Drosophila melanogaster: one gene and its partners. The protein of the gene in region 2 interacts with the protein of the main gene of each other region in a pairwise test. Each region holds a gene or a part of one and is shown on either strand. Other genes may lie near its edges.

What was found.
Region 1: the proteins of Poxm (region 2) and ca interact in a two-hybrid assay, tested with the Drosophila melanogaster proteins (one large-scale study listed by BioGRID).
Region 3: the proteins of Poxm (region 2) and tow interact in a two-hybrid assay, tested with the Drosophila melanogaster proteins (one large-scale study listed by BioGRID).
Region 4: the proteins of Poxm (region 2) and CG6656 interact in a two-hybrid assay, tested with the Drosophila melanogaster proteins (one large-scale study listed by BioGRID).

The regions. Positions count from the first base shown.
Region 1 is NT_033777.3:29,803,453-29,810,815, forward strand, and holds the start of ca (claret), read left to right. Parts: upstream 1-3,358; 5' UTR 3,359-3,882; coding exon 3,883-4,150; intron 4,151-4,352; coding exon 4,353-4,954; intron 4,955-5,016; coding exon 5,017-5,554; intron 5,555-5,836; coding exon 5,837-6,369; intron 6,370-6,440; coding exon 6,441-6,751; intron 6,752-6,813; coding exon 6,814-7,356; intron 7,357-7,363. Other genes in the region: CG7789 (uncharacterized protein), read left to right, coding at 1-228, 293-834; ncd (non-claret disjunctional), read right to left, coding at 954-2,195, 2,255-2,892, 2,952-3,174.
Region 2 is NT_033777.3:8,329,692-8,337,006, forward strand, and holds the start of Poxm (Pox meso), read right to left. Parts: upstream 4,102-7,315; 5' UTR 3,434-4,101; coding exon 3,424-3,433; intron 1-3,423.
Region 3 is NT_037436.4:6,939,573-6,949,599, forward strand, and holds tow (target of wingless), read left to right. Parts: upstream 1-3,283; 5' UTR 3,284-3,434; exon of another isoform or gene 3,435-3,529; intron 3,530-4,859; 5' UTR 4,860-5,118; coding exon 5,119-5,197; intron 5,198-6,691; coding exon 6,692-6,875; intron 6,876-6,928; coding exon 6,929-6,986; intron 6,987-7,675; coding exon 7,676-8,343; intron 8,344-8,398; coding exon 8,399-8,537; intron 8,538-8,705; coding exon 8,706-8,933; 3' UTR 8,934-9,741; downstream 9,742-10,027.
Region 4 is NT_033777.3:21,871,880-21,879,232, forward strand, and holds CG6656 (uncharacterized protein), read left to right. Parts: upstream 1-3,413; 5' UTR 3,414-3,610; coding exon 3,611-3,751; intron 3,752-3,835; coding exon 3,836-3,931; intron 3,932-4,468; coding exon 4,469-4,597; intron 4,598-4,695; coding exon 4,696-4,809; intron 4,810-4,881; coding exon 4,882-5,019; intron 5,020-5,116; coding exon 5,117-5,521; intron 5,522-5,587; coding exon 5,588-5,752; 3' UTR 5,753-5,909; downstream 5,910-7,353. Other genes in the region: CG31431 (uncharacterized protein), read left to right, coding at 156-261, 531-646, 709-922, 993-1,642; CG31178 (uncharacterized protein), read left to right, coding at 2,280-2,933; CG34148 (uncharacterized protein), read right to left, coding at 6,068-6,198, 6,354-6,540, 6,608-6,709; P5CDh2 (delta-1-Pyrroline-5-carboxylate dehydrogenase 2), read left to right, coding at 6,619-6,698, 6,931-7,353.

The DNA of each region.
Region 1 (7,363 bases), about 21 Mb from region 2:
GCTCTGCCCAGCGTTGCATTATCGCCTCCTTGGCCAAAAAGTTCCCCACCGTCAAGATCATTGGCGAGGAGGGTGGATCCGATCTGAATGTCTGCGACGACTGGCTGGTGAACGAGTTGGATGAGGAATTCCTGCAGCACAGTTGCCCCGCTGAGTGGAAGGATGTCAAGCCCGAGGACTTTGTCATATGGGTAGATCCCCTAGACGGCACAGCGGAGTATACACAGGGTGCGATCTGGAGATACCTGTAGAGCTCCTTATATAAAACTAAATGTTCTCCTTTCATCCGCAGGACACGTTGAACACGTGACCGTCCTGATCGGCATAGCCGTGAAGGATGCTGCTGTGGGCGGCATCATTCATCAGCCATTCTACCAACAGCCCGATGGCGAAATGGGTCGCACCATTTGGGGCCTGAAGGGTCTGGGCACGGGAGGATTCACGGCAGTCCCCGCGCCAGCCGGCCAGTTCATCATAACCACCACTCGCTCGCATTCCAATGCCCTGCATCAGCAAGCCCTCAACGCATTCGCATCCACAGAAGTTCTGAAAGTCGGAGGCGCTGGGTTCAAAGTGCTCCAGCTGCTGGAGGGAAAGGCCCACGCGTACGTCTTCGCCACGCCGGGCTGCAAGAAGTGGGACACCTGCGCACCCGAGGCCGTTCTAGAGGCCCAGGGCGGCTGCCTCACCAACATCAACGGCGAGCACTACGCCTACAATGCGGATGTGGAGCACGTGAATCGACAGGGAGTGCTGGCCAGCCTGGGACAGGACCATGCCGCGCTGGTGGAAAAGATTCCCGCCGAGGTGCGGGCAGCAGTGGGAGCCAAGTGAGATAGCTTTGAATTCCAGCACTTTATTAGTTTATTTGCACTAAAAGTAAACACACATAAATTAAGCAATAACAGGTTAGAAATTTGAAAATTGTTAAAACTGGGCTCAGAATGCATTCTTTATTTATCGAAACTGCCGCTGTTGTTGCTCTGTGTGCTGCTGTTGGCCACCGAGTTGTTCAGGTAGCGATTCCGCTTGGCCTTGGTCATTTTGCAGGAGTTTACGGAGGCCGCGAAGCGCAGCGACTTGACGGACTCTTGGAAACAGTCTTGGAACGGCGAGACGTTGATGAACATAAGCGTTTTCGAGTTGCCGCCCAGCGAGGGCATCAGCAGGTGCGTCAGCTTGGAGTTCCTGTACGGGATGTGGTCCTGCTTCTGCAGCAGCGCCAGGATTACGTTGGTGAGCTCCGATAGCGAGCGATTGATGTTCTTTGTCTCGGTCATCCGGGTGCTCGTCTTGGGAGACTCAGAGCCGGCCAAATCCACCAGGTTTATGGAACCCACGGAGATCTCTTGCTTTTCGGCATGGCGTCCGATGAGCTCAAGCTTGGTAACCGCGTGGGAACGAGAGGAGCGCTCGTTGCCAGCTGTCGAGGCGGTGGCACGGTTCATCTTGGCCGTGTGCATGAGGTGGCGCAGGTGATTTGGATCCAGAACCGTCTCCTCCGTTATGTTGGACACGTAGATGTCGTTCTTGTTGTTCTTGGCCATTCGAATCTCCATGTCCTTCTGCTCGTTGCTCAGCAGATCGTAGAGCACCTCGTTGTAGATCTCCAGAAAGGTGGCCTTGATCTCGTACTCCCAGCCCAAGTTGCGATATCCCCGGATGGAGTCGAAGAGCAGATCCACCGTGCGCGGTATGACGCCCACACTCTCCGGCACTCCGTCCATTGTGTAGGTCTTGCCACTGCCCGTCTGTCCGTAGGCAAAGATGCAGATATTGTAGCCATCCAGGGCCGACTGGATGAGCGGCGAGACCATCTCGAAGATGTCCGACTGCGAGGAGAGCGGGTGGAAGACCTGGTCGAATGAGAAGATCTGCTGGCCCATCTTGCTTTTGGCCTGTGCGTCAATGCTCTGCAGCTCCACGGTGGACTCGTCGTGATAGGTCCAGGTGCAACACATACGGTTCTCCTCGGACTCCAGCGGCGGTCGTATTCGACAGAAGACCCGGATGTTGCCGCGCAGGTCCATGACCGTGTTGTGCAGCTCTTTGCGCTCCATGTTCGACTGGAAGAGCTGCTCTTTGCAGGTCTCCAGCTCGGCGGCCTGCTGCTCATTGCAGCGCAGGAGTTCCTCGGTGCGCTGGCGCAGATGCACCACTTCTGTGCTTAGAGCAGCATGCTCCGTTTTTACTTTCTGCAACACACACATTGTTGTTACATTTAACCTGGGTTTCTGTTTACTTGAGTACTCACCTCATGTATTGCTTGCAGCTCGGATAGCTCCTCTTTGGTCCTGCCCAGCGTCGATGTGATTGTTTCAATTTTGGCGGTATGCTGCTTCACCTGCCTCTGAAGACACTCGTTGTCGCTCTGGGTGTTCTTCAGCGAGGACTCCGTCTCGATAAGCTTGTTCTGCGTCTCCTCCAGTTGCTGAGGCATGGACTCCAGCTCGCCCATGTCCTCTGTTTGCTTTTCGTACTTTGTCTTAAGCACCTTGTGCTTCTCTAGCAGATCGTGGAAGCGGGCCTTGAAGTCGTAGGGAGCGATGCGCTTGGGAGCAGCAGCCGCGGCTCCTGACGAAGCTGCTGCTCCTGTTCCTGCTGGTTTCTTGGCGGCTGCTCCTCCTGCAGCCCGTGGAGCAGGACGCGTTACTGGTGGTCTTTTGACAGCTGTTGCTGTTATTGACGAAGGCGCCGCAGGACGCACTAGTCGCTGGCTGGAAACAGTGAGTGCACCGCCCAGGCGGGATACTTTGCTGGGAATGCTGGGCAATGAAGGAGCAGCCGCAGTGCGCTTGTTACCACGCAGTTCGTTGATGTCGCAAGCGCTACGGCTACGTCTCAGCTTGGCCCGGTGGCCCAACTTCATGGGCTCTGGGGAGGCGGCACGTGCTATCGGAAATTAGCAAGGACTTAAGGTGAATTCTTTGGAAGGATGCTTCTTTACTCACCTCCTCCTCCGCGACGCTCCAGCACCTGGGGCAGATTGTTGAGGTCCCTTGAGAGGGGCGGCAATAAGTTGCCGCAGTATGTCTGGTTGGCATTGACATTGAAGGCGCCTGCTCCAGCGGCTCCACCTCCCAATCCTGCGCGAATTCGATCTGTGGGCAGCACGGTTTTAATCGGCATTTGGGGTTTCTTCAGGCCCGACGGTTTCGGTAGCCGGGATTCCATCGCCAACTGTGTTGTGCCTAACTTAGAAGATACGTCTGCCTCCTTGCAACCGATTTTATCAATTAGTTTTGCGTTGTTGACAAGCGACGCCGTCGATTCCCGCCGTTATTTTTGATTGCAGGGATGCTCTGGGGCAGTGTGACCATTTGTCGGGAGAGTACGGCGTTGCCAGCCAAGACGACTTCCAGTTTGTCAATCAGATGTTTTCAGTGCTGCAGCTTTGGCCCTCGGGCACAAATTTTCGCCTTGACTCGTGCATCCCGCAGGTTTTCGGCGCGTGAAACTCACCCAAGCGGGTGTGAAATACGGTGGCTGTTGCATTCGAACCGTTCATTTTGTGGAAAAGTCGCGGCGGACTGTTCAACAGCCTGAAGAGTGAAGTCTTGTGCGCAGCACTAGTGTCGTTGCCGGACGGTTGCGGCAATCCGGGGCGAACTTCTTGAAAGCGTTTTGCTTTCTTTTTGCGAGCTTGTGCGGTGTGAAGGAAGGCCGCGCTATTCTGAAATTTATTTGTTGCCTCGAAAAAGCTGTGGAAATTGCGTTCCAGTTGGAAAGCAGTTGCGTGATCGGGTCGTTGCCAGACCGGCCGCAGGTCTCACGCGACCATCTCTAGTTTGTTTTCATTCGGATTGGAAAAGGCTCGTTCCCATCGAACTGATTTTGTGAATTTTAAAATTGGCTTCCCCCACGTCCGCCAATCCCCCCGAGATGTCGGGGCAGGCGGAGCTCAAGGAGCTGGGCATGTTCGAGCTGCGCCCGCTGATCACTAACATCAGCTGCAAGCTGTCCGCGGTGACAGCGGGGCTGGACGAAAAGCGACAGTTCCTATGCCTCGTTTCTGAGGAAAACGAGATCCTGCTGCGCTACATAAGCGCCGCCTCCGGCCAGGAGGTGGTCAAGATGATATCCTGGTTCCGCAACCGCGTCATCCACGACGTCTGCTTCGATCCGGCGGGCGTTTGGCTGCTGGTGCTATGTGAGTTTCAGCGTATGATGGCATGAGCACCACCCACTTTTTTGTGTTGGGTGGGTGGTTGCTGTGGTGGTGCTGCTAAAATTACTTTGCCCCCATGTGTGCGTGTATGGTTATTGATTTTCTGCTGCCTCCCCTTTGTTTTGATTTAACGATCGAATGGAGTCCTTGCTCAAACACCACTTATCCACTGCTCTGTCAACAGGTTTCGACAACACACTGCACATCGTGCCCGCCCTGGCGTTGGTGGACAAGGCCCATGGACTGTCCGCCTGCTCGCTCTACAGCACCACCCAGGTCACCTCCTACATCATCCCCTTTGTGGGCCCCCACGAGTGTCCCAACTCCAAAAAGTGCCCCAATCACTCCACCGGTCTGGAAGAGTCCACGGCGGAGCCAATGGATCAGTTGGCTGAGAACCTAGAGCAGGCCAGGTTGCAGGAAGGCGAAGAGGAGGAGCCTCTTGGCCACGACCTGCCCGAGCACATGCTGGTGCGAAATAGCGGAACTGAGGATGCAGTGCAGCCACTGCCGCAGCAGCAGCAGACGATCGATACCACCGGCAATAGCCAGGTGATGGCAGCCTCTTTCATGGCGTCCAAGACCTGCCCCTATCCCTTGTCCGTCGTCTGGTGGAAGACCAACAGTGGACAGAATAGGGCCATTATCGGCTACTCGGATGGCTCCATCTGCTTTGTGGGCCTGAGTCCCAACTGCCCCATGATTGCGAGCACTGCCATCGAAAACGGATCTGTGATGCGCCTGGTTATCTGCAAAGATAAAGCCTACGATGGTGTTATGCTGCTGGTAAGGAACTATTCTACTAATATAGATTTCCAGATGATAGAATATGGTTTACCGTCTTTCAGATAACTTCCTCCCTGAAGCAGCAGTACAAACTTTTGCTGGAGCAAAAGGCAATCAAATACGTCTATCCCGGAGACAGTTCCCCGACAACCCGCGAGGGCGCCTGGCAGATCGTGATGTCCGTGCAGGACAAGCATCAGAGTGCGGCGACAGGCGCCCGACAAAGCAATAGTTCCGATCCGGCCTCGGACAGTAGCCAACTGGAAGAGGATGTGTTCGCGCCTCCGTCCAGCGATGATGTGGTATGCAGTGGTCCAGGAGCAGCCAACTCAGACCCGTCCACTGTTTCGGCATCCGCAGAGGCAGCCACTGCAGACGTGCCTCCACCACCGGCGCCGCCTTCGTACAGTGAGGCAGTGGCTAGGCAATCCGGTGACCAAGGCGGCGTTCGCTTCCAGCAACAACAGCTGCCAGCGGGCAGCATGGATGGCATTCTGCCCGCCACGAGAGCCCGACTGGCTTCGCTCAAGAGTCTGGGATCGAAGAAGCTGCAGGCCATCAAGATGCGACTTTCCGATCAGCGGCAAAAGTTCGATGAATGTGCGTAAGCTGACGTAACAAGATATACGTTTTTCTACTCCCTACTTTAACATATTTTCTCGCCTACATTGTGTTTATATTTGTTAATTTAATTGCCGTTTTATTGTGAATTTTTCATTTTTTTTATTGGTGTGCAGTTTTAAGAGAACTGTTGCATCTTTTGAAGCGTCGCTTGCGTGGTGAGTTTGCACAACTCTCACACTTGACAGACCAAGTAGAAACAGCTCGAGACTTGCAATCCCATGTAATGATATCAAAAGTAATCCATTCCCTCTGTTCCAGTTATGCCGGACTCCACGATGGGCTCGTTTGCAATCATGGATTCGCCGTCGGTTACGCCGGAGCCCCTAGGCACCACCTCCGGATCCTTTTACAACATACAGAACCTGCGCAGCACCTTTCTGCTGAGTGCCCTGCACAGCAATAGCCACAGCTTGACCGTGCACAGCATCGACATCAGCCTGAAGCCGCTGTTCGTTTACAAGATACCCAAGCACACCCAGGAAATACTCATTAGCTCCAACATACTCTACGGCATACACTACGTGGACCTGCACTGCCGCAGCGATTCGGACCACTTCACGGCGGCATCGTTGCTGGACGACCCGCTAGTCGCGAACACGGAAAAGGAGAACCGCGACGCGGACATTGAGAAGGTGGATCAGTCGGATGTGAGTGCCCAGAAGAGCGATTCGACGAGCGCAACCACCACAGCCACATCGAGCCTAGATCAAAGCGACATGCCCAGTACTGCCATCAATGCCGTGTCCGTGATCAGCAGCGCAATGGCCTCCCTGCATACCTCCGACGAAGATGTGAGTTGAAGGCGCTTTCAAAGACCTGTACGATTACGAGTCCCTAATAAACACTCTTTTGATTTCGGCAGCGCTTTAATAATCTGGCTCAGCTAGGTCTCTTCCGCTTCGAGAATGAAACTGTGCTGCATTTATATCAGATGGCACAGTATCGCAATCCCTCCGCCGAACCAGAGACGCTTACCAAAGAGGAGAAGGCCAAGGCTTTTGAGCTAAAGGATATCCACACGCCCATGGACTACATCCAGTTCTACGAGACGGCGGATGTTAGCAGTGAGTTTTCTCTGCGGCAAATGGAGATTATGCAGTCCGAGTTTCCGAAAATTAACTACGATCCAAGCTATGTGATCACCAATAAGAATGTGTACACCATACAGCTGAAGTAAGTTTTGAATTGGTTGCTACGCTCGAAATCGCTTACTGAATTGAAATTACTTTTTGCAGAAAGGAGCCGTTCGAATTGTTCCTGGATGCCGCATTGCAGAACGAGTTCAACCAGTGCCGCGACTTCTGCAACACCTTCGACCTCTCCTTCGAGCAGTGCATCGAGTTTGCCGGGGATTACCTGCTCAGGCGGAAGAAGATCACTCAGGCTCTGCTCACGTACAACAAAGCGCGGGTGAAACCAATACGCACAGCCTTGAAACTGGCCATGTATGGACACACCTACGCTCTAATGCAGCTAAGTGCTATGGCCCTCAAGTCCACATATCTGCTGCGCTCGCGGTACTTAGGTCATCCGCTGCTCAAGGGTATTTTGGGAGACATTACGTATCGTCACTCGGAGGATGTCCGTGTAATCTTGCCCGAGAAACATGAGGAGGAGGATGTGAACAGCGGTGTTTTCTGCAGCGATTATCATTATGGCGTGGACGAGTCAATTAGCGCGCTTCAGATGTCGCCTTCTTCGCAGTTCCATTTGGCCAACTTGTTGCTCATCACGTTGGCCGAGAAGGCGGTAAACGATAAGAACTATATTCCGCTGTGGTAGGTG
Region 2 (7,315 bases):
GTCGACAATTTTGCATTCGGAGCGTTGCACAATTTGCCGCACAATCGCATTTATTTATCAGTGAATTTCACAGAATCGTCGCGCCAAGAGAAAGAGGAAGCCACTCTACGTCTGTCACTTTGATCCGCTGGCAATGCCATTTTCCTTTTTAATCTGCTGCAGAGTTCAATCCCAAGTGTTATCAATGGAAAAGAGTCATGATTGGCATCGCTTTATGTTTACTTAACATCTATCGAATCTGCTTTGAACCAGACGAAGAAATGCAACTCCTTACGGCTACTTTCCCCAAGGAACGCTAATAGCTGGTAACTGGCATTTTAGAGAAATTTTAAGTGTCTCGATCTAGCTTGCCATCTGCTCGCGTATTTCCGTTTTCAGATCAAGTGCAAGCGCCTCGAATTATAAATGGAGCCCATAAGATAGGCGCCCCAGCAAGTGGGAATCAAAAGTACATAAAGCTAAATAGATTCCTGCGGCGTCAACAGCATTGTCTGTCAACAGAAATTAATGAGTCCATAAATCACGACAGCCACCGCCAAGATAGCGACGCACTAGCTCCTTTCTTCCGCCCCCTTCGGAAAACTGGTAGATGGGGCCCAGTTGGAGGAGGCTAGCAAATATGACGGCTCTAGCCAGCGAGCTCGAGGAACTCGAAAGGGGTGCGGCCCAGCCGAAAAAAAAAAAGAAAAAACCAAAGGGAAGATGCCGCAGCGACTTCAATTACGCGTACGAGGAATGCGCACAATGCGAGTGCGTAGCCGAAATGTGCTCGATGTCGATGGCAAACCCATGGCCAGAGTTCCGATCCCGTCCCACAGGCCCAAAGGAGATCCAACGCATCCGACCAATCATTGGCAATGTACTAGAACCGACAACTCCGCTGCAGTTCGGGTTCGCCGGCACTCGAGCAATGTGCAACGCCCTTCGCTGACAGCGGCGAGATGCATATAAATCTAACCACATGTGCACCAGCTCACCCACTCCCCAATCCTGCCCACTAGGGATTCGGAAAGTAGCTGAGGCACTTACATGGAATTGTTATTGTATTGTTTAGCGGTAAACTATCTTTTAACAACAAACCCTTTAATTTCCTTTAGCTACATAATTTCATATCATTTTATTGTATGAAATGAACTTCTAGAGCTAGCTGGAAAATAGCCAGTTTCACAGCTCTGATCCTAGGACTCCAAATTCGAGACTGAGAAATGGAGTTTGGAATGATTGTGGCAGTTCCGGTTTTGGGTCGCCATCGCCCCCATGGGACTTGACACAGGCCATCTCAAGGGGTTAGAGTCTAGGGGTTAGGGGTTAGAACCAGATGTTAGCCGCCCGCTTATTGATGCGATCGCATTCATTATCCCAGAATGAACTGGCTCAAACACGTGCCCCCTAACGATTAGAAACTCATTAAATATATGGTAATGAGCTGAGTTTGCTTCCAAGAACATGAACTACACTTGTCAGATGTCAGAGGTTGTGGATCCATGGGGAGATGTCCACGCCCAAAGGGAGCAAATGTCAACTGATCTACAGTGAGAAACCTAGCATATTACAACAAAAAGTAGAACATACTATTCAAAGGATAAAATGCAAAGGGTTTTGGAGGTTTTAATTATACTCAAAGCCTATTTAGTGCAACTTTTTTAAGCTCGCCGAGCAATGCCCAAAATGACTGCAAATGCGCTTAATGAATGTTCCGCATCAGCGGTCGGGGATGTGATTTAATTAAAGAACTCAGGGGAAACGACGCCACACAATCAAGCCGAGGCAGTGAAGCGTTTTCCCAAACCCGAACCGCAATCATCGGTATCCACGGGAGGAAGCTACTGGTCGGGCTTTCAGATCAGTCCCCGCCGCATCCTCCCGCAGTCGCTGCTCCTGGGCACCTACTCCCATACCATATAGACTCTTCCATTAAGGCATGTACACATTGACGCGACGTTTTCCTCCTCGGATCTCAAGTGTTTGCCTGCCTTTCGTGGCCATCGTCTGCGCCTTTTGTTTTACTGCCCCTTCTGTGATTTTAACATCTTGCACTTGCGGCCCGCGTCTGGTGGGCTTTTCATGTTTAGCTACCGAAGTAGATGGCTACCGGTGGCCGTTAGTCACGCATTTCTGCACCTCTGGTCCAGAGTCTGGGTTTTGGTTTGGGTTCGGGCATGAGCATGGGTCTGCATCGGCGTCTATATCTTTTTCGACGTCTCCTAGTGAGCAAACAATGCTGGCGTACAAACAGAATGTCAAAACATCGAAAGCATGTCATTAATGGACCAAAAGTGCGGGACCTCCTAGCCGACTTATAACTTCTTTTCAGCTCGGACAAGTGGAAAAATATATATTCGTGTATGTCCTTTTGATACTTTGCCATAAAGAGGCTCAAGCAAACAAATAAATACTTGAAACTAAGTGGGGAATACCATTATAAAAGATTACCCATAGTCAGTCACACTTGTATGTCACTCATAGAAATTGAAAACTATTGGCAAATTATTTCAAAAGATGATCTAAGCAATTCGAAATTTGTAAAAGTAAATCGACGCATGCCAAATTATTCGATTGCGCACATGTTTGTCAACAACTGAGAGAACTGATCAAATCTTTACACACTTGTGTAGCGTAGTTTTCGGCCATAAGGCCATGTCTTGCACTCGCATTTTGCTTTTGGCCCAAAGCACATGGACAAACAGAGACACGGACACTTGGAGCCAAAAGTGAAGACCGCACGACAAAGGCAGAAACATTACAACGATCATTAGTTAAATTAGGAGCCTTGGCTCCGGAGTTTGGGATTGGGATTGGGGTTATGGGTTTTGGATTTTCGGTTTAGGGTTTTGGGTTTTGGAATCGGGTACGTGTGCGGACGTCGGCGACATCATCGAAAGTCAAACAAGTGCCGCGGCTACCGCGAGGCTGTCGATCATGCGCCAAGCGACGGCAGCCTTTTGAAACGAAAATCAAAAGCAAACATCTGCCTCTTGATGTTGCCCAAAAAAAAAAAAAAAAAAAAAAAGAAGTTGGTCCAGCGAGCGATTGTGTTTATCCCAAGCAGTTAGGGGATCCGGATAAGGACTTGGCTGGAGGATCGGACAAGAGGGCTTTATTGGCAAAACACTCGAGTGGCGGGCTTAAGTTAAGAGATTTAAGTGAAAATATAGTGCTACTTTTGAATTTGTCTTTTCGTTACCTTATATTTTAAGATAGAGAGGGAAATGTGATTTCAAAAGTCTTATCAATATTTCCTGCAATATACATATTCTTGTTTTTCTGATTATATTAACCCAAATCTATCAATAAAATAGCTACTACGCTTTTTAAAGAAACCCAATGCCGTCGGCACCTCAAAAATGCCGATAGATCTAAAAATTTTAATTTGGAAATGAATTCTGAGGCCTATATCTTTGTGAGTCATGGATTGAGACATACCTGGGTCCATTTCGGCCGATGGCAATTGATTGAAGAACTCCAGAATTGCAATTGTGGGCACCCAAATCTGCCTTTCGCCAACTCCGCCGTGGAACTTTCTCCGATTGGATTCGCCGGAATAGTTGGACTCTGCTTTGCTGGGGATTGTCGGTGGTTACCTAGTCGTTAACTTTTCGCACTTGGCTATAATGTGAGTTTCAATTAAGGCATGAAATTTGTATACAAATTGGCGCCAGTTGTGCGGGACAGCATCGGGCTGCGATGCCTACTATGCCGTGAACCAAGACTGAGATCTGATTAGCACATTTTCGGGCCAAAACGATCGCTCTCGAGTAGGTTGGCTCGAAAATTATCACGCACTTATCACACCTTATTGGGGAAGCGGGAACTACACACACTTAATGACACTACAATGGGTTTGTTATGCTTTGATTTTGGGAATTATGTCGGTTTACTTTGGACTTGACTGGCGGACCTCCCGTGCGATTGATGGTTTGCAAATGAACCGATTTAAACAGCATTCACTGATCCGTGCGCGCGCCTTTAAATCTTTCGATGGCCTTTTTGCTCTAGCGTATCGGGTCGTAGCGTATCGGTTGGGAACGGTTTGGATCGGGAAAACCTGGCGCGCTCTCCAAAAACGATCGTTGCTGCTCGTCACCCGTGTCTGCTGCGACTAACGCTGCCCGCGGCGCTGCCGATCAAGATCGCCCACAATCCACGTCCACGCACACATTGAATATCACCACCACAGCCACAGTCACATCCACATCTACAGGCTCAAGTGGAAGTGGAAGCCACCGCGTCGACGCAGCATCCCAAGATCTCGCTCTCTCTTTTTCTCACTCTCCGCATTCTCCTCCGCAAGCACACACACACTCATCCGTGAGAGGAAGGGGCGGTCGGTCGAGCGTATATGTGGGTTTTAATGGCGATGATCGCGCACTGGTGTGCGTTTGTTGGTGGACCGCGGGCAAATAATAAAAATGAAGAATGTCTTTCAGCGATCAGGAGCGCAGGCAGCGAATTGAGGGTAAGCCCAGAAGAGTTAAGGCGCCAGTAACTTTGGTATCGAAATATCTTGTAAGTGTTTAAAGTAAAGGGTTCATATAAATTAAATATTTTAATAAAGAGATCGAATTCAGAAGTTTAGAAGAAGGTTTTTAAGACTTTATTACATCAAGTTATACACAATAATCTATACAATTTTTTTATTATTTATCATAACATATTTCCGTTTTCTTGCTGATGGATAATAAACTAAGCTAACAACCCATCTCTCCTTTTTTCCCCAGTTACCGCTCCTGTAGTCGCTCAACTTTGTGTTTGTGTGCCAACGGATGTGTGGGTGTATCCATGGATCGGAATTCGTACTCTCGCTCTCTCTCCGCTGCAATACCTACACAGACGAACCGAACCGAGTGAGTGAGCATACGCAACCGGGCGGAGTTAATTTCTGAATGCTTGAATGGCCAATCTGAAGCAAGTAAGCGTATCCGTAGCGTTACGCAGGGTGGGCGAGCGATGTCATGACTTCTTAGTGTCACACAGATGAGGAGCAGACGAAAAAGGAGCCGAGGGAGAAGGATAGAAGGAGAGAAACGGAAGGAAAAGGAAAGGGGCGGGGCTGTGGGAATTCTCGGAGCGCGTGCATCTATTTTTGGTTCATTAAGAAAGCCATATCGCTAATAAAGCGGCACAGACAGCTAACCCCGTAGATCCCCAGGGATCCACCTCCCGGCCAATGCGGCGTATGCGTGATGCCAACTCTCGCTGAGGCGTTGCGTCTTGCTTGGTTAGAGTTAATTATAAGAAATGCCGTCTTCATCTGATTGTCACTAATTCTGAATACCGCCATTTAATGATAGATGCCAATTGTCGTTGTCATTCCCTCATTAAAATGGTCAAATCGCCGCTCTTGCTATTCTTAATGTTGTGCTCGCTCTCTTCGCTGGCTGTTTAGCATGGCTGTGTGTGCACTTAGTGCGCGTGTGTGTGTGTTTTGGCCCACACACACTGTTGCGCGTTGGACACACCTCCTTGAGTTGGCTTACGCTTACCTGCTCATACCTTTTGTTGCGAATCCAATTGGCCCTCTCCCTGTCACTTTCTGATTTCTGCTCATTGCCGACTGCATTTCCCTGCATTTTGTGGTTTGACGAACGCCATTTCCGACATTGCCTTTGTTTTAAAACAAATAATTCTTATAGTTACAATGTACTTTAAAAAATTTAAACTAAACTCTCCTAATACAATTCATTATTGTTAAATTACTTGTCTTTTTAATTTTTTATAATTTTTATATAAATTTTAAAAACATTTAAAATGTATCTATTACATTGGCATTTTGATTTTGTAATAAACATAAATACATATTATTTAAATAATATTGTAAAAACAATGCATTTTCTTGTTCAGTTTTCTACTTACTTTTAAGAACGAAATGATTAAAGGGAAACACAAAATCATCATAGAGTAAACAATTTTTTTCTTTTTATTTAGTAATACTAGATAGATAATAATAGATCAAGTTGAAGAGCTTTATTTAATCATTAAAAACAATTAAGTAAATCTTTTAATAAAATAATCCAAACGCTAAGAAGTAAATCTCCGATACGTAATGGATCGACTTACAAAATAATTGGCCATATGCGAAAACCAAGAATTCTTCCCCGGCGGCCAAAGCTTCAATTTGATGACTAAAGCATTGGGGATAAAGAATTGGGGGAGCTGATGACAAAATTGTCTCCGCGTTTAACAAATTGGGTGACAGGCTTTGAAGTCGCCGGCAGCCAGCGACAAATGACAAGCATAACAAATGAACACTGTGCGTTTTCCGCTTATTTTTTTCTCCTTCACGGATACTTTCCAGTTGTATCTTCCTGTGTTATAAAACAAGCGGGAGTGGAAGGAGTCGATGTGGAATCTGCCAGGCACTTGAGAAAACAAAGGAGCTAACACCAGGGACTTGGGAAAAGGAGTCCAAGTACCAGGAGCAGCATCGTATGTCATAAAGTGGCAAATGCGCTATTAAATTGACACATATAAGTCAGAGGAGGAGGACAAGTTACATAAGATTGCGCCAGATGGGCGGGGACTATGCACTGGGAAAAAACACTTTGGAATTATAGATACAGAAGTTTGGATATATGTTTTGAAAAGAATTTAACTTATAAAGTACACCTTATTAATTGTTATCAATACATTTTTTCATTTATTATTCGTATAAAATTATCATATTGCACAGTCCTTTAACAATGGAAATCGCCGCTTTTAAAGTTACAAAAAAATATAGTAATTTTGTAAGTATCTTACCTTTTGTATCGTTTCGAACAACATTTTTCCCCAGTGCACAACTGCTGGAGTAGGCGGAAGCGTCAAATTGTCTACGGCAGCGGTACTCCCATAAACGCGCATAAATCCCAAACGAAAAAGGCATCGACACGTGATTATGCGACCCACTTGAGTCCTGGAACATAGTATCTGGAATCTAGAACCTACGAGCCCAGGGACCATGGACCTTGGGCGCTACATAAAACGGATCGACGCAACTGCAGTTGAGGATGAATTATTGGTGTAAACGAATACCCGGCTCAGTTGAGCGGCAACATACCGCAACCGACCTTCGTGTCACCTGATCCCACGCGTTCGCACTCAAGTTCCTAACTAGATGATGTCGTTCCCAGCTTGGTCAGTGCGTATAGTATATGCGGTCCGATTCCCATCCCCGAAGATCCTTAGATTCCGGACATGTGTTTCTGGTTTGCCAAGGTGTCGGTTTTCCCGCGCATCTTTCACGGGGCCGGGCTTGTTACGGCCTATAAATCGCCGATGGCATTCCTTCGATTCTCCGGCAAGGCATGCAATATGTTTTTGTTTGTTTACGCCAGCC
Region 3 (10,027 bases), on a different chromosome or scaffold from region 2:
TTAAGAGGCTCTGGAAAAAAGGACATTAAAATTATATAAAAGCAGCTTGGCGAAATTTAAATATTTCACCGACTTCTACCCCAATTTCCACGCTGTCATAATATTTTATGGTTGCTTGTTTTAATTCCTTGTTCCATCATTTCACAATTTTTTGATGTTTTATTTTCGTTTCTTGTCTCATTTTATTTTTCCTTCTTTTCCGTCTTGTCAATTGTCCAACAGCGTAAAGTTTTTAATTTTTATCAAAAGATTTTTTGGGCTGCTGCTGTTTTTAATGAAATTTTCGCGCTGTCCTGTAAAGGATTGGACTCCATCGAAATTTGCATAATTTTTTGTCAGCCATTTTTAATTTGTGATTTGCGGCAGTCGAGTGAGTGTCCTTAAAAAGTTATCTTCACATTCTTTTTTCATCTTTTTGCATCTTTTGTAATTAAAGACATCTTTGAGTTTTAGGGCGTGCACAAAAAAGTTTATACTAATTTTAAGCTCTCTAAATAATTGTTTTTAATTTGTTTAATTTTATTAAAACTTTTTTAGAGACAAATTAATTTGTTGTTCATTGATTCTTAAAACACTTTTATAGTTAAATTTAAGATGCAAAATAATAATAATAATTCAATAAAATCTTGATTGGTCATTTTCATTCCCACTAAGTGCTTTGCTAAAATGATATTAGTTTTCTTTGGAAAACTGAATGAACTTCAGCCCTCTTTGATGCGCTACCAGTTCGTAGGATCTTCTGCTGGCTGGTTTTCATCTGGCAAATCATTTTAATTGCTTTGCCGCACTTGGGCATCCTTCTCCTACCAAAGAGCCCCCGGAATCGAGGGCTTAGCCTTTGTTGTTGACGATGGCGATGGTGATGGCGATTGTGTGCGGCGATAATAATTACACGTCACGCTGCCACGCAATCAAAACATTATTTGTGCAAAATCACGGAACTGAACTGAAGCGGAAGTGATGAAGGACTTATTGGCTGCACGCGTCCTCCGTCGTTGTCCTTCGCCAGCGAAAAAAAAAAATGTTTAAAAAATATTTGGCTGGCTGACTGGCTTTGCGGGTCTATTGGCGCACCCTATTTGCATTGCACCCAAGTCTCCGGATCGGAAGGACTCCGTTCCGTGTTAAATTCAACACAACGCGTGCGGTCACGTGGCTAAAGGATACGCCCACTTTCATGATAGTCACAATCGACAGTCGAGATTTAAACAAAACGTTGTGCCCACCGCATCAAACGTCATTCACGTTGCCCCCATTGAAAATCATCAACGCGGCCAAAAAGACTGGGAAATCAGGAAAGAGCTGCGGAAAATCGCTGTAAATTATGTAAATTGTTTTCCCCGGCGAGGTCGCAGATTGAAAGGAGTGCGAAAATTTGCCTAAATGCTGGCAGGACACACCAACAGGTTCAAACTGTTGCAGACAACGGGAGAAATGCCAAACAATGTGAGAAATGCCAGAAACATATGTCGCCATTATCGGCAGTTAACCAACATGACAATCCTTGCATAGGGAATCTGATAATTAGGGAATGATTTTGGGGAGTAACAAGTTCAAGGATGGCTTGGAAAAATATTACAAAACATTTAATATGGAGTCGACTTTTGTATTATTTTCTTTTCTACTATTTTATCGAAGAAATTACTAAATGACATACTTAACAATAATAACTTAAATAATAAATGCGTAGAAAATAATATTTTTATATTTTCTTTCTTACCATTAGATAAAGTTGAATTTGACTTAAAATGATATATAAGAAATTGATTCAAACAATCCAAATTTTGTTCAGCTTTTTTGTTGAAATTTCTCTGCTCATCTTGTTTCAATTGTTTAGCGAAAGCGATATCTGTAATCCCACCAAACACCATTAATATAAGACTTAAAATGCCACCCTGCTTTTGCTCAATCCATAGATCAATGGGAAGATATCATTTCGCATTTGTTGTATATTACTTCCTGTTTGGCATGGACATATACATTTCATATTTTTCCCACCAGTCCGTAGTGTCCGTAGATGTCCTAGATGTCCTAACTGTCCACCCCTTGAGAGCGATATAGTCGCATTTCCAGCCCCCTGACGACGACACACGTCCGTGGCAATAAAAGCGCAAACGTTTCAATTCCGTTGCGGCTGACAAATGCACGGAAAAAATGCCAGCGATTCTGCCCCAAAAATATATTATAATGATAAAAAAAAATCGAGTGAATGGAAACGGACGAAAGTTTATATAGATGCTGTCGAGTGTTTTGATTTGTAACGTTTCTCACTTCATTATTATGCAATAAATAATGCCATCTACATGTTCCATCTAATATTATGCAGAAGGGCGAATCGCAGGGGGTAGTTTATTTGTCCTGCGATTTCTGTCCATCGGAAGTGGAGCGGAGCGATGGTCAGAAAATCATTGCTGTTGAAATTAATGAGGCCTAACATGACTGGGCGCGATTTTTTTTTTTGTGCGAAAATATTTTTGCGAAATATTAGGAAAGTATTGAAATATTGAATATGCCGGAGTACGTGGTTTCCGTATTGTCCGTGGTTTATCATGATATCCGTATGGTCCGTGGTGTCCGAGATGTCCGTGGTCTATATAAAATAATAAGTAAAACAAAATAGTTTTAAGAACAATTACAGTCTGTTCATAAAAAATTAAATTAAAATAGGGGTAAGTGTAAAACACCATTTGGAAACTTCAAGACCTCTGCTGGAGCTTTTTGGCATTACTGGAACAGTTGTCGCGTGGCCAAGAATTTCGAAAAGTTCCTGGCACGGAGCTTAAAGCGTGCTCTACCAGAAAAGTTTATTTACTTCTTCTATGCGTGTATTTTCCGATATCGATACCGATATCGATGGTACGAAAAAGAATGCATATCGGTACACCAACGCCAAATCAAAGTGCCAAAATGGCCTCGTGGCCTGCACGAAGGACCTGCTCACAACGAATCCTATATACATCGAAATCGTGAGTGCTACTAGTTTTGGTTCCTCGATTTAGAGCTTCGATGCAGTGTTGCGTTAAAGAAACAGGGCCTTGGGTCTGAGGAAAGTGCAACCCTTTTCTGTGTCCGTCGCTGATCCTGACCACGCCTTAACATTTTCTGGCACCGCCTACGCCTACCCCATGCCGACGGCGCCGACCTGCGATCAGCCTCCGCAAATGGTCACATCCCGTACCAGAACCGTTTGCCGAAAGCTCCAGCTCCACGGTAGCATTGAACCCCTGTGCGAAAGCTTCGCCTGAAAACCCACCCCCATTGCAGTGGGCACTCATCTCCATCGTTGTGTGTGTGCTGGCATGCCGCTGAGAGCGGTTCTCGCTTTTTGTGACACAAAGAGGAGTGTCATGCAGCATAAATTTCATACGAATTCCGCACACTCGCAACGCGTCGCAGATACTTTTCGGCAAAGTTTTCCGCAGGAAAAAGCCAGTGTAAATAAATTGAAAAAAAAAACCGAAAAAATGGGCGACAGTTCCTCTTAGTTATTAACAAAACGGTGTAAATAAATGGGCGTGTTCGTTAAACGGTAAATGATAGTGTATTTGCGACTGTGTTTTTATTTAACTGAATGGAATGGAATGGCCAAATGCGCCCAAGTGGTCAAGTGAGATAAATCAAACAAGTTTCTTTGGGGCGAAATAAAACGGCGGCCAGCCGAAAATCACCATGGGAATGGAAATTAAATGAAAATCCGGCAATCATAAATAAAACATAAATTATGTTTCGCTGCCAGTTGGCGGCAACAAAAATAAAATAATCAAAAAAAAAAAGGAAGATGTGAACCAAGCGGATATATTTTGATTTTTTTTTATAAATAGAAAAATCAATTTCTCTCTCTCCGAGGAGCGCTCTCTCTCTCTCTTTTTTGGCGCGCGCCTGTCTGTGTCCGTCTTCCCCCAAAACGGGCGCATGTGTGCGTGTGGTGGTGTGCGGTGTGTCTCGCGTGTCGGTGTCTATTATAATATCCAGTGAGCAAAAGCGAGTGGCCGAGTGCTCTCACTCACTCTCTCTTTCTCTCTCTCTCTGCGAATAATTGAATATAATTCAAGTGTTTTTGCTGCACACTATTTGTTGTGCTTATTATCGTTATTATTTGTTTAAATTACCAACGACAACATAAACAACAACAAGAGCACCACGCGCGCGTTTAGCACAACGCCGTGGAGCCACCTTCGAAGGCATCGAAAACATCAACAACATACAAAAGGCTCTCAAGGAGAGCGATTTGCGTAGTGCTGCTGCAGCCCTGGTCAGAAAAACCCTTTTATGGGTTTGTCCTGTTTACAAATTGACGCTGCAAATTGAATTTATAGCACGGCTGAAACAAGTGGATGAGTGCCAGCCAGGGACCCACTTAATTTCCGCTACGGTCCCCAAAATACAGAAGACAAATAAATGAGGAAAATGCCACTACAGTGAAGCATCGAGCAGTGGAAACTTGAAATATTCATAAATTTCGAGCTAAAAGTTTAGTTTGTGCCATATTAATAATGATATTACTAAATCAAATTCGTTCGTTAATATTTGATTCAATACCAAACGAGCACCAAAAGTATTACTAAAGAAATTTGCACTAATGGTTCATTCTAGACTTGGTATCAATTTATAAGTTTTCCACTAACTTAACTTCACTTGAATTAGCCTAGTTGTCCTGTATTTGGTTTGAACTGGAAATCGGTGGGCGAGTGGTTGAGTGGGTGGCTTGGGTGGCATTTTCCCTGAGAAAAACTCACGCACAAATGTATTTCCCCCCCGAGGAGCATTTGTTGCTGCTACCTCAATCTTTCGAAATTGACAACGGCGGCAGCGGCAGCAACAACAACACCAAATCAAATAAATTTAATTTACACACATAGTTAAATTAGTGAAAATTGAATAAAACAGAAGAAAGAATAGACGACAAACGTAAATAAAAGACGGTGAGGTGACGGAGACGCGAAGAGTGAGGAGCGGCAGACCGAGCGGGAGAGCAACGTGTCGAGCAACAAATTAATAATACAACAACAAAAACAGATAAATAAAAAGCAACACAAATTGAAAACAAAAACAACAAGAGCAGCAGCAGAGGCAGCAGCAGCGATTCTGGATTTCTAGAGGCAGCGGCACATTCAAAAGATGGGCTGTGGACAGAGCAAGATACATTTGTATCCCAGAAAATCGAAGAGTAAAGCGAACGGCAAGAAAGGAGGACATGGTGAGTAGGCGAAATGAGAGTATATCCTTTGGGCACCTGCCTTTATAAGTTCCACACACGGTGCACCAGACGTAAATGCGTTAAAGATGAAGCAAATCAATAGGTTATCTAAGGGTTTTCATAAGCCCAAAATACACAGTTCAAATATTTTTAGTAGCCACCTATGTGCATATATATAATAAAAAATCAGCAATACTGATAAATTGATCTTCAAAAATTTCTCAGTTCATTTTACTTATAGATTTTATGTTATTCTCATTTTGCGTGCTAGAATTGATATTGTTTTGCCAACTTTGTGTATGCCCGATCATTTGGAATGATCTATCAAATCGTTTAGGCATTTTCCTCTGTGTAGAGCAAGGGAAATTGGGGAAACGGCGAGGAAAACGTATTGCCTCGCACAACAAAAGCTTACACGCATGACGACATCAATTTGCCTCCAGCTGTGTGTGCATGTGTGCGTCCGTGTTTCCGTGCATGTGTGTGTGTGTGAGCCACCTGTTTCCACACAATGAGGACATCATTGATTAATATGTCACCAGCAGTGAAAAAAGAAGGGGAAGTTGAAAGGAGGAGCCCAGTTTTAAGGCCATACATTCACCAAAGTAATAATAAAGGCCTACATTTTAAAGCCCACAGCATTGTCTATATATAAACACACACACACGCACACTAGCCAATTTAAGTTTATAAGAATGTAAAAACCTAGCCTACATGGCAAACTTTTGACTATGCCCAACCCCGCGCGTTTGTTGCTGTCTGTGTCTATGTGTGCGTGTTTCTTGCCTTTTTTATTTCATTTTGTGTGTGTATAATTAACTGCTAAAAAGGCAACTTGTTGTTGCAGTGGGCGCCGCTTCAAGGGGCGTGGCCAGCCCCCCCCCCCCAGTTTGTATATAGCTGTGTGTGTGTGTGTCTCTGTGGGCAAAAGGGTTAAAGCTAAAAAAGTATAGCATACACAAAGGCGCCATTGTGCCATAAACGACCCAAATATTTCGGAGGCGCCTAAGCTTTAGTCTCGTTCCTAGATTAATTATTCATAATACTCGCGGCTCTCGCTTTACCGAATTTGCATTAAAATGCATAACGGCTTTTAATTAAATTTATGGCTGGCAAGGCCACTTCAAAGAAAGGCCCGAGGAAATATTAAGTATACGCAGGCTAAGCCGAAAGATGGATTAGCAAAACAGAAACGTGCAGGTACAAAAAGGATGCTAAAAACTTTGATTTCTTTATTTATTTTTATAAATAATTAAGTATTTGAAAGGCAGATAGTGTTTTTTTGAGTATCCATAGTGGCCCAGGACCTAGCATAATTTCTACAAGTGTTTTCTAAGCATTTTTCTCGACTGCGACTGCCCCCCGTTTCGCAGAGAAGTTTGCCACACTTGGCTTATTGCAAAACTTTTGCCACTCCATGGCACTCGCGAAATTGCCCACTCATCTTGACTAATGCTCGAAACTCTTCTTTGGCATTATCCATTTGTTTGGCAGCCGACTCAGATGCCGAAACGGACGAGGACGAAGGCCATATCGAGGATGCTGAGAAGGCACAGCAGCGCGACCGCGAGAAGCACGACGAGAGCGAGGAGCTAAGCAATAAGGACATCCAGGAAAGCGACGAGGACGTGGCCGTCTCACTGCTGCGCGCCAAGAACCTATCGCTGCTGCAAAGCCAGTAAGTTAGCCCATCGACCGCATAACCCGAAAATGAACACCTCACTTTTCCAGGGAAATATCATCTAGCCAGCAGAACTTCTTCCGCATGCTGGACAAGAAGATTGATGAGGTGAGAGTCCACTTAGTGATACATTCCCACATACCAGATGGGAAATTTAAATCAAGGGGGTTCCCAATAGTATAAAAACTTAAATCACTCGCTATAAAGCACAGAGAACAATTGTTGTTTCTATAAACACAAAAAGTTGAAAGTACGAAATTCTATAAATTCATTGACCCCAAATACGTAATTTAATAGAATTTATTAATTTTAACATACATATATATTTTAAAAGCTTTGCAATATAAACTCAACCAATGTAAATAATGATCAGCTAACTAGTCATAACATTGATGTGTAATTGGCTGTTCCGTGATAATAAACAAATGGCCAAAAATCAATATATATGTAAGTGCACTAAGTATTTGGCTATCCCAAATCGAAAGAGCAAAACAATTAGTTTTATGGCCCCCTATTTGTTTTCTTTTCGAACAACATGTGAGGAGCCATTAAAATTCGCTTGTTACCTGAAAATTTGACTTCAAAGAGATTGGAACAACTTATGCGCAGCAAGAAAATGTACATATATGCCATGGGGATTAATTTGATTATTTTATTAAACATGTTAGACACAAAATCTTTTATAAATTTCCATTTTAAAGGTATTTTAATTTGATCTTTATATTCTGGGTGTTTTGCTAAACTTTTACTTCTTGTCTGTGACCAAATCTGGCTAAACACAAACACGCTTGTTTTAGGGTCCCGACTACGATTCGGCCAGCGAGACGGAGATCGCATTGGAGGAGGCCCGACTAAACGCCCTGCGTCAACATTGGGAGTCCGCCAGCATTACGGCCTCCATCTGCTCCTCGGCCAGCCGCTCGCTGCAGACGACGCCCATCCGCCAGGTGCAGGTGCCATTGAAGCAGCCACCGCGTGGCGCCGGCCTGCTGATTCAGCCTTCTAGCGCCTCGGCGGTCACCGCCTCCACCTCCTCCTCCTCCTCATCGACGATAGTCGCGCTGCCCACGACGGAGTATCTACCTCAGCATGTGTTGACGGGACGGCAAGTGGTGCAGCAGCAGCAACAACAGCAGCAGCAACAGGCGGCAGTGCTCTACCAGCAGCAGCAGCAGCAACTAATACTGCTGCCCCAGTTGGATCCTAATGTTGTCAACACGTCCACGGCAGCAGCAGCGGCACAGCTCGTCCAGTTGCAGCAGCAGCATCAACAGCAGCAACAACAGCTACAGCTGCAGCAGCAACAGCAGCTGCAACTCAATCAGCAGCAGCAGCAGCAACTTTACCAGCAGCAGCAACAGCAATACCTGCTGACCCTTCCCGCCGGATCAAAGCCCCAGAGCGTGAGTCCAAAGCGCCTGATCTATGGTGGACCCGCTGCAACCACTCTCCTCTGTGCAACTGGGTAGGTTCAGCTATCTGTCATCATATATATATATATTATATCCATTTAAATACAGTGATGTGCATTTCAGCATCAAATGCAACGCCCCCGAAACTTACGAACCGCCAACCGCTCCACACAGCCAAATCCAGCAGCAACAGCCACCGCCTCCTCCGCCGGGCGCCTACTACGGCGAGATGATGCACGGCGTACAGGTGAGTGATCCTATATGTACTGGATCTTAGAGGGCAACTTGAGTCTGCTGAAGAATTCTTAAAAAATTCTACTGTCTGCAGAATTTGCGCTCATGAGCAACTAATTCTTAATGCCTATTATCTTGACTTTTAGCTTAATGACTAATATATTTACTTGACCATTTGCAGGCCGCTCCAGCGGCGGAATACAAGTTCCCGCCGGCCATCAGCGTGCAGAGACTGGCGCCGCAGGTGCAGCGGCAGTTGCGCGAGACGCAGGAACTCATAAAAGACTCGTGCCCGCAGCTGTATGCGGCGGGCTATGGCAGCCCAGGACCACCGATACGCAATCCCAGCAGGAACCCCACTAGAACTAGACCCACCCTGGAGACGCAGTTCTCGCAGGAACTCTCGTGATATCTATATATGTAAACAGCCGGCAGACGGAGGATGCACCCACGTTCAGACACACACACACACACAACCACTCACAGTTGGAAAAACTGCAGCCAAAGAGGAAAGCTAAAATTAACCAAAATTATAAGAATACGAAACCCGTGACAAAACACACAGTAAAAAAAAAACAAAGAAAAAGCCAAAAAAAAAAAACAACCAAAAAGAAACTTCAAAATGAAAGAAAATCAATTAAGAAATTGTAAAACTGCACTCAATGTTTCAGACCCTCAGAATCCCCAAAATGCGTACTATTTGCAACAAAGAAACAATATGAGCAACTACTATACCTATGCGGAGCAACAAATAAAGCATTCAACTACAAGGATATTCAAGAGGCAGCCAAAGAAAGCTAGGGACATAGGTACATAGGGACATACCGAGTTGGATCCGAAAAAGCGCAAGGTACATAGACTTAGGAATCGAGTATAGCGTTATAAAGCGATATATACATATATGCAAATGCCACAAAGGAGATGCGGAAGCGGAAGCGGTCGCTGAAACGGAAGCGGAAGCGGATGCTGAAAACGGAGTAGGAGGTGTTAGAGCCCGAGAAAAAGCAAACACAAATCATACAAAGTAAATAATATAAAGTGTAACAAACAAATGACTTCTACATTCTCACGCAATTTTGTTAGTCATAAATCTCATGGTGTAATTTTTTAACAAATATTTTTCCGTCAAATTCTCGAAATGGTGTAACATTGATGATGGCGGATGATGATGGAATGTTCGTTGGATATGCAATTAACGGATGAAGCTGTCTAGTAATATTTGTATACTTTAGTTCTATTTATTATTAATAATATAATTTTGGATGTATGATAGTTTTTCTTATATGGATATATATATATATACATATATATTTAAAATGGAAAATAAAAGCAAATCAATTAAGTTTAAACCCAAAGACTTCCTTATCAGCGGGAATAATTAAAAGCGCACGGTTGAAATTCTAATTAATTCCTTTATTCATATCTTGTTATCAATTCATACTTATGGGCTGCTGACATAAAATGGAATTACATTTCAAATTTTTGAACGTATTTTGATGTTTT
Region 4 (7,353 bases), about 14 Mb from region 2:
ATTTGGGAAATAAACGAATGGCCGGCCAGCCAGCGGAATTCAAATAAATAAATGCCAAACGATTGTGTGTGCCCCAAAGTAACTAATCAAAGTGTTCGACAGGTTCCTTCGGCGATAGCAAGTGGAAGACAATGTCGCGGATATGCTAAGTGGAAATGGATCCGATGATTTGTGATCTGTGGTCTGGCCGCATTTGGCTATTGATACTCATTTGCCTGTGCGGCTTTCAGCAGTCCCGCTGTTTTTTTGTTGACTATACAGGTGAGTTTAGTTCTTACTATAAGGGTAATTTTAATTTCGAAGATATATATATAAGTACGTGCATATTTTCATTTAGAAGCTCTTTTTGTTACTACACATTTCCGCTTTCATTCGTCAAAATATTCAGAAGGTTAATCGCAATTTCGGGGAGCACAACGCTTGATAAGATACTGTCAATTTGGCTATCATTGACACAGAAAAAAGTAAACATTGCCATTGCCTTGATTGAATGGTTCGGAATTTTTGTTATATCTTTTTTGCCGGTGCAGAGAACACAGAGTTAATTCAACAGAGAGCCGGATTCGATGTCAAGCTGCAGTGCAATCTCAAAGGTCTGGTCGATGAGAGTATGCTGAATGACATCAAGATACATTGGTACTTTAAGGTATGTACTATTATTATTATTATTATTGTTGGTACCCATTGATTAGCATTAAACTATTTCAGCAATGCAGCGAAAACAATTGCCATCAGTTGGGATCTGTGGACGAGTGGACTGCTCTGCCATGTGAGCCGAGTCTTTGTCGTCCGGAACTCTGGCTCCGGAATGTGACGGAGCGGTATTCGGGACTGTACAAATGCAGCATTAATCCGCACATTTGGGATAAAGCCCAGGCTGTGGATGTTCAACTGGTTCGCACCTATCAGCTGGATGTTAAAAGTATGTACAATTTTCATCACCATATATACCATATACCATATCGAAAATTATGTATAAATTCTATTTGTAGACACCTCATTGGCAGCCCCTGAGTTTGTGGACTCGTATCCCAACAACAAGACCACATTGGTGGGCAGTAGGGTGGTGTTCCAGTGCCGTGTTCACAGCGAGGAGCATCCCACAATCAAGTGGTTTCGCCGGCAGACGTACGTGGGAACTCAGTCAGGTGGCGAAGCCTCCTCGGCACCCACAACCTCAAATTTTAGCAACCATATTGTCCGGTACAATGGTCGAACATATGAACTACTGTCCACCGATCCAGAAAAGATGATGGCACCCCAGATATATCTCAGCAAATTGATTCTGGACGGAGTGAGATTACGAGATGCCGGACACTACGCCTGCGTGGCCATCAGCTATCGAGGCCATAAGATCCGCGAGGCTTTCCTGGATGTGCTGGCCGATGTGGAGGATACGGATCAGGAGAATGAGTACTGGTCGGACTACGGTAATGAAGATGAGGGAGTTCCGACTAGCGATCGACGGGAGTTCCTGCTGCTCTTCCTTATGCCACTGGGATTGGCTCTTCTTCCATTGACCGTGTGGTTCAGTTATCTGTTGTACAAACGTTGCTCTGTGGGACACGGCGATTGCCAGCGAATAGATTCGGACGAGGATCTGGACACGGAAAGGTGTGTCCTCGGGGGAAACAAGCATTAAAACCGAATATTTTTGAAGCTGCACTACGCTTATTAAGATTATGGATAAAGACTGTCTATAGAGTTATGAAAAGTAGACTTACAATCTGAAATAAATATATAATTTTTTATGCGAACTTTAGAGCTAATCGAGTCAACTGTAATGCCTACATCAATAAGGACATTTTTAAAAATCTAGAAAACCTATACTTTTATGCCACTTGGTTGTCTGTGAAGGTAGTGTTCGCATGTAACTAAGGCAAGCTAAGCAAAGTTCAAAATTTTCGTCGAATGAAATTCCAAATTTGTTTCGTCTTCAGTTTCCGGCAGACAAAGTCCTCATTTGGACACCGCCGACATCGCCATCATCGCATCTGATTACAGCAATCCCATACACGCTACAGCAGACTGCCTAATCCCCTAGAGAACTGGTACTCGATATCCACAAAACTGATGATCATCGAACTTTGCCTGGAATTTCACTTGATGTGGGAATTAAATGTTCGCATCTATTTTATGCGAATGAGAGTGGCCATTGTTAATCAACTGGAGCCAATTGGGGACTTCTCCTACTAGAATTATTCATAATATCGAGCAAATTAACTATCCAGGATCAGGGTTAACTAGACGTCCATTTGTTCAGGAGCAAACTGGCCAAAATGTCTGGATCGAGGCGACGCCGTACCGTTATGGGATACTACGAATACATAATGCCCGGGATTTATGAGTATCCTTTGATCCAATGTGATGCGAGTGCAATCCGTTCCTATAGTATTGACTCCATAATGACCAGTGCTTCATCAACTTGGTCAATTCCAGATAGCAATGCCGCCTATGTAGCTGGACCAATGGGCGTTATCCACTATCAATCGGATATGCAAACGCACTTGGCTCTGCCAACTAGGCAAAATCTGGAAACTGGTCTTATATATCCAACCATTGAATCCAACTCATGTTTCCATGAGCCAAATCTAGAATATGTTCAAATGGAGAATGAGCACACCGATGACGACGAGGGATACGGCTATGAAATTCCCGAGATTGTTCTCTGCTTAAACCGTTCAAATTCAGAGTCCGGCGCAGCTGAGGAATCTGGCGATTCGCAGCGTTCGTCAAAGAGTTATTCATCGGTGGAGATTAGCGAGCAGTCAAGATCGGGGGAATACGTTAAATTAGAATCGGTTTTCAGGAGGCGAAGAAAAGTATCGCAGAAGCGCAAATATACCACCGAGCAGGGTTACCTGGTTGAGGAACCCACCAGCGAACCATCTGAGGAGGATGCCGAGGAACAGGCACCAAAATCCAGAAAATAGATATCTCATATTTCAGTTCAGCATCTACGTTTGACTATAGAAAAAAAACGTTACCCTCTTTGATTTTTCGTTGGAATTTGTAGTGATCAAAATATATATATTTTATAAATATTTATTTGGTTAACTTACATGTGTATATGATTAGCGATAGTTGTATGTCGCAAGGTAAGATATAAAGGCAAGACAAATAACTTGAAAAACAATGTTTTTCACATGAGTGCAAATTGATAGACCACCATATTGCACACAGTAGCACCTAGTCGAGACCCAATTTGTACTGCCAATGAGCGACTAATTTAATTATTCGCACATGTTCAAAGACTTTACTCTCGCGCAATGCCAAAATCACATGGAAAACTTGTCTCCCCGGCTCTCCGACTGTCTCTAGCTGGCTCTTTCTGTTTTATATAGCCTTCTCTCTCGCTTCTTAGCGCCCCCTCTCTTTCTGGCTGTGAGGCAACCTTCCATCGACAGTCGCTCAGTTGTTATACGGCTTTTGTTGCCATCGGACGTGACTTGTATTTATTTATTATTTGTTTCGTCGACGGGGGCAGCGAAATCGAAAACACTCGCTATAAAATAAACAAAAAACTATTTTTAGGCTGCAAATCTGAAATATATTTTCTCGATCAACTGCAGCAGGAGCATAGAGACGCCACCGCACCCCCTCCCTAAAAATGGACTGCAAATCGCGACGCGGCACCAAAATATCGGTGATCGCCCTGGGAAGTGCCCTCTGTTTCGTCATGATGGCATACTTTGTGTTCGGCGACAGCAACGACGAGCAGGGTTTGCGGAATCTACGCATGATATCCATAGTAAGCTGCCGCCACTTCTGGCATAAAGTTGTAAACAACGAGATCTGAGCACTGTGTTTATCAATCCAATCCAATGCCCACCAGCTGTTCCGACATGGTGCCAAGAATCCGAGTGGCTTCTATCCGTTGGATCCGCACGCTGCCCACGACTGGCAGGGCGGGATGGGAGCCCTCACGCCGGTTAGTATTCGATATACAATAGTATAGATTAGGATATGGATCCTACCTAAACTTTAAATTCTTTCTCTTAACTCAAAACGTATAAGTGATAACACATCAATTTTCAATAGGGCTGATCAAAACTGACACGCCCATTCTTTTGGAAATTTAAAAAAAAATTGTTTGATTTTCGTACTATTTGATATATTATTGCTTGCACTAGCTGAGAAACTAGACTATAACGCTCTCGTTTATGTTTATTTATTTTCCAATTAACACATTTTATCGTACGAATTTTTACACTTTAAAGAGTATTTATTAAACGGTTATCATGTAAATAAATAATGTCAATAATGTAAAACAGTGTGTTTCATTGCATTTAAAACTCCAATTTGGTTTTAATTTTATGATCCAAAATGATCAATGAAGAATGAATTATAGATGCAAGTTGGTGATATCTAAAACTTTAATGCTAGACACGTAAAACATACATTACTATTTAATATATTTTAATAAAGATATTTATATTCTACAAATTTCTTAAACCCCCTTTGACAGAAAGGCAGCCTGCAGGCGTACAACCTGGGAAGGAATCTGCGCATGCGCTACTACCGTCTGCTGCCTCCGAACAGCCTTTACACCCAGCAGCAGGTGAATGTGCTCAGCTCGGCCGCGGAACGCTGTGTGGTGCGTCAATTGTTTCGATAAGAAATCCTCTATAACTCTATTTGCTATCTGTCCGAGATGGTGGTGCCCTAATCAGTTGGCCGTGTGTTATCTTTTAGATGAGCGCCCAGAGCGTCTTGGCCGGCATGATGCCGCCGCTGGAGAACAAGAATGTGCTACCCATTCCCTGGCAGCCGGTGGCCGTCAATACGCTATCTCGCAATGAAGATATCGTGAGTGCAATTGTATATTTCCATTAGTCAAATGCAAGTCATCATCATAGTACTATGATCTAACTCTATTAGCTGTTGGCCCAAAAGAAACCGTGCTTGAAATATGACCACATTCTGCAGAAGCTTTACAAATCTCCGCCTCCTGAACTCCAGAAACTGAACGAGGACAACATGGAGCTGTACAAATTGCTAACCAAAAACACAGGCAAGGTGGGAGAGAGTTGCACCCATATTGGTTGTTAATTCCTTTATTGCCATACGATATATTTCACTTTTTCACTTCTGATATTATCATATTATCCTTTAGAACATTTCAAATGTACTGGACGTGGAGCTACTCTATGGCACACTCAAAACCGAAGAGGAAGCTAATCTGGTGCTGCCCGATTGGACTGAGAATATATACCCCGAGGAGATTAGGCCACTAGCTGAACGTAGCTATATGCTATTCACCGAAACAAATCTAATGAAGCGGATTAAGGGTGGCGCTTTCCTTACGGATATACTCAACAAAATGCAGAATAAGCGCAAGAGGAATCTCAATCCCGATCGCAAAATATTCCTGTACTCCGGTCATGATGTGACTTTGGTTAACGTGATGAATTCCCTGGGCATACTGGACCAGACTACCAAGCTTCCGGAATATGCATCGGCATTGGCCTTCGAGCTTCATCACAGCAAGTCTTTCAGTGATGGAGACTTTGAAGTGAAGGTTGGTATTGGTAGCGTATTACTATTAACTATGGGATTCTTACCAGTTTGGGTTGTTTGGTTGCAGTTGGTTTACTACTACAACAGCGAAGACAAATTCCCCAAGGAGCTGACCATTCCCAATTGCGATGCACCGTGCTCACTGACCCAGTTTGAGGCCTCTGTAAAGGCCCTGCTTCTAGATAACTATGATGAGACTTGTGAAAATCATCCGACCGATTGCAAAACATAAGATGCCTTCCAGACTTTGTTGAAAGTGTGTGTCGTTCTGGGTTGTTGTTTAAGTGTCTGGCCATTGCTAAGAAATAGTCAGATGTGATTTTGGATAATTTTAAATAATTGGTTTCAATTAATAGCTTTAAAATAAAACTAAGTCAAGTAGACAAACTAAGTAATGCAAGGTGTAGTTATCTCAAAAAGACAAATACATACATATATGGATGAGATATTTCCAGTGTTCTCTTCTAATTACATTAACTGAATATGCATATATTTAGATAAGAAGGCTTTTCTTCACATTTCACATTTTGGAGTTCAGGAAATCAAATCAAAAGCTTGAGCCCTTGTCCTCAGGATATAGAAAGTATATGGGAACTTTTACCGTCTCGCTGACATGAACGATCTCGGTGTGACTAATTAGACGGATGGCAGCCAGTCCATAGAAGAGCATTGGTAAGCCTGTGTAGAATTTAAGGATATAAATGCGGTCTTTTGGGAGTTTGATTAAACTCGAATGAGGACTTTCCCATATGCATTTCGGGATTCATTACAGGGCATACACCTTTTTCGAGTTACCACGGACCTATGTAGCATAATCCGTTTACTGGACTTACCCAAATTAATCACCTTAAGGAAGCGAAAGAACTTGTCCTCCAGCCAAAGATCCTGCACCTCCCTCTTGCTACAGTGGTACTTCATATAGGGATAACAGGCGGTGCGAAGAATGTGATAGTTGGTTCCGTTTTCCAGGGTCCAATTAAAGTGAGACATTCCCCTCTGATCGTTGGCCACATCGTGAAACTAGACTTGGAGCATATTTCTCATTAGATCTGGTGAAAATATTGGGGCGGAAAAAGGGGAGTCTTACCTTCACGAAATATGATGTCCAAGGTGGCTCATGGCATTGTTTCAAATATGCGGTCAATACTTCCGAGGCTCGAGGCTTCAGTAAAAGGCGGGTAAGCTGCATTTTGTATCCAAATATTGAAACTATTGCATCACAAAATAATAACAATTGGCTTTCATGGGTTTTGTTATTACTTTTGCTCTCTTATCGAATCAACAGCTGTTCTGCAATCGATAATCGACATACTGTTATTACATCGATAGCAGTAGCGATAAGTCGATAATTGCGCGTAATTTGAAATTATTTTTCGAACACATATTTTCTAACATTCAATCTTATTTAAGCCTCGTGTCTGTTAGAAGTACCAGCAAGAGACCCGAGCTATCCGAGCACTTTACGCTGGATGAGATGGTGGCCAACGAGAAGCTGCTTCAGTATGACGAGGGCTCAAAGGAACGCACGGAACTGGAAACCGCCCTGCTGGGCGTTCTCAATAGGGTAGAGCACGTTCCCATCGTTATTAACGGCCAGGAGTTCCAGGCCAAGGAGGACTTCCAACAGGTTCTGCCCTACGACATCCAACAGCCCATTGCCCATTACGGTCATGCCCACCGCGTGCTCATCCAAATGGCCATCGATAAGAGTGTGGAGGCGCAGGTGAAGTGGGACAAGGTCAGGCTTAGTGATCGAATTGATATTTGGGAGCGGGCAGCGATGCTAATTGCCGGAAGATACCGCTACAACATCATTGCGGCCACGATGTTGGG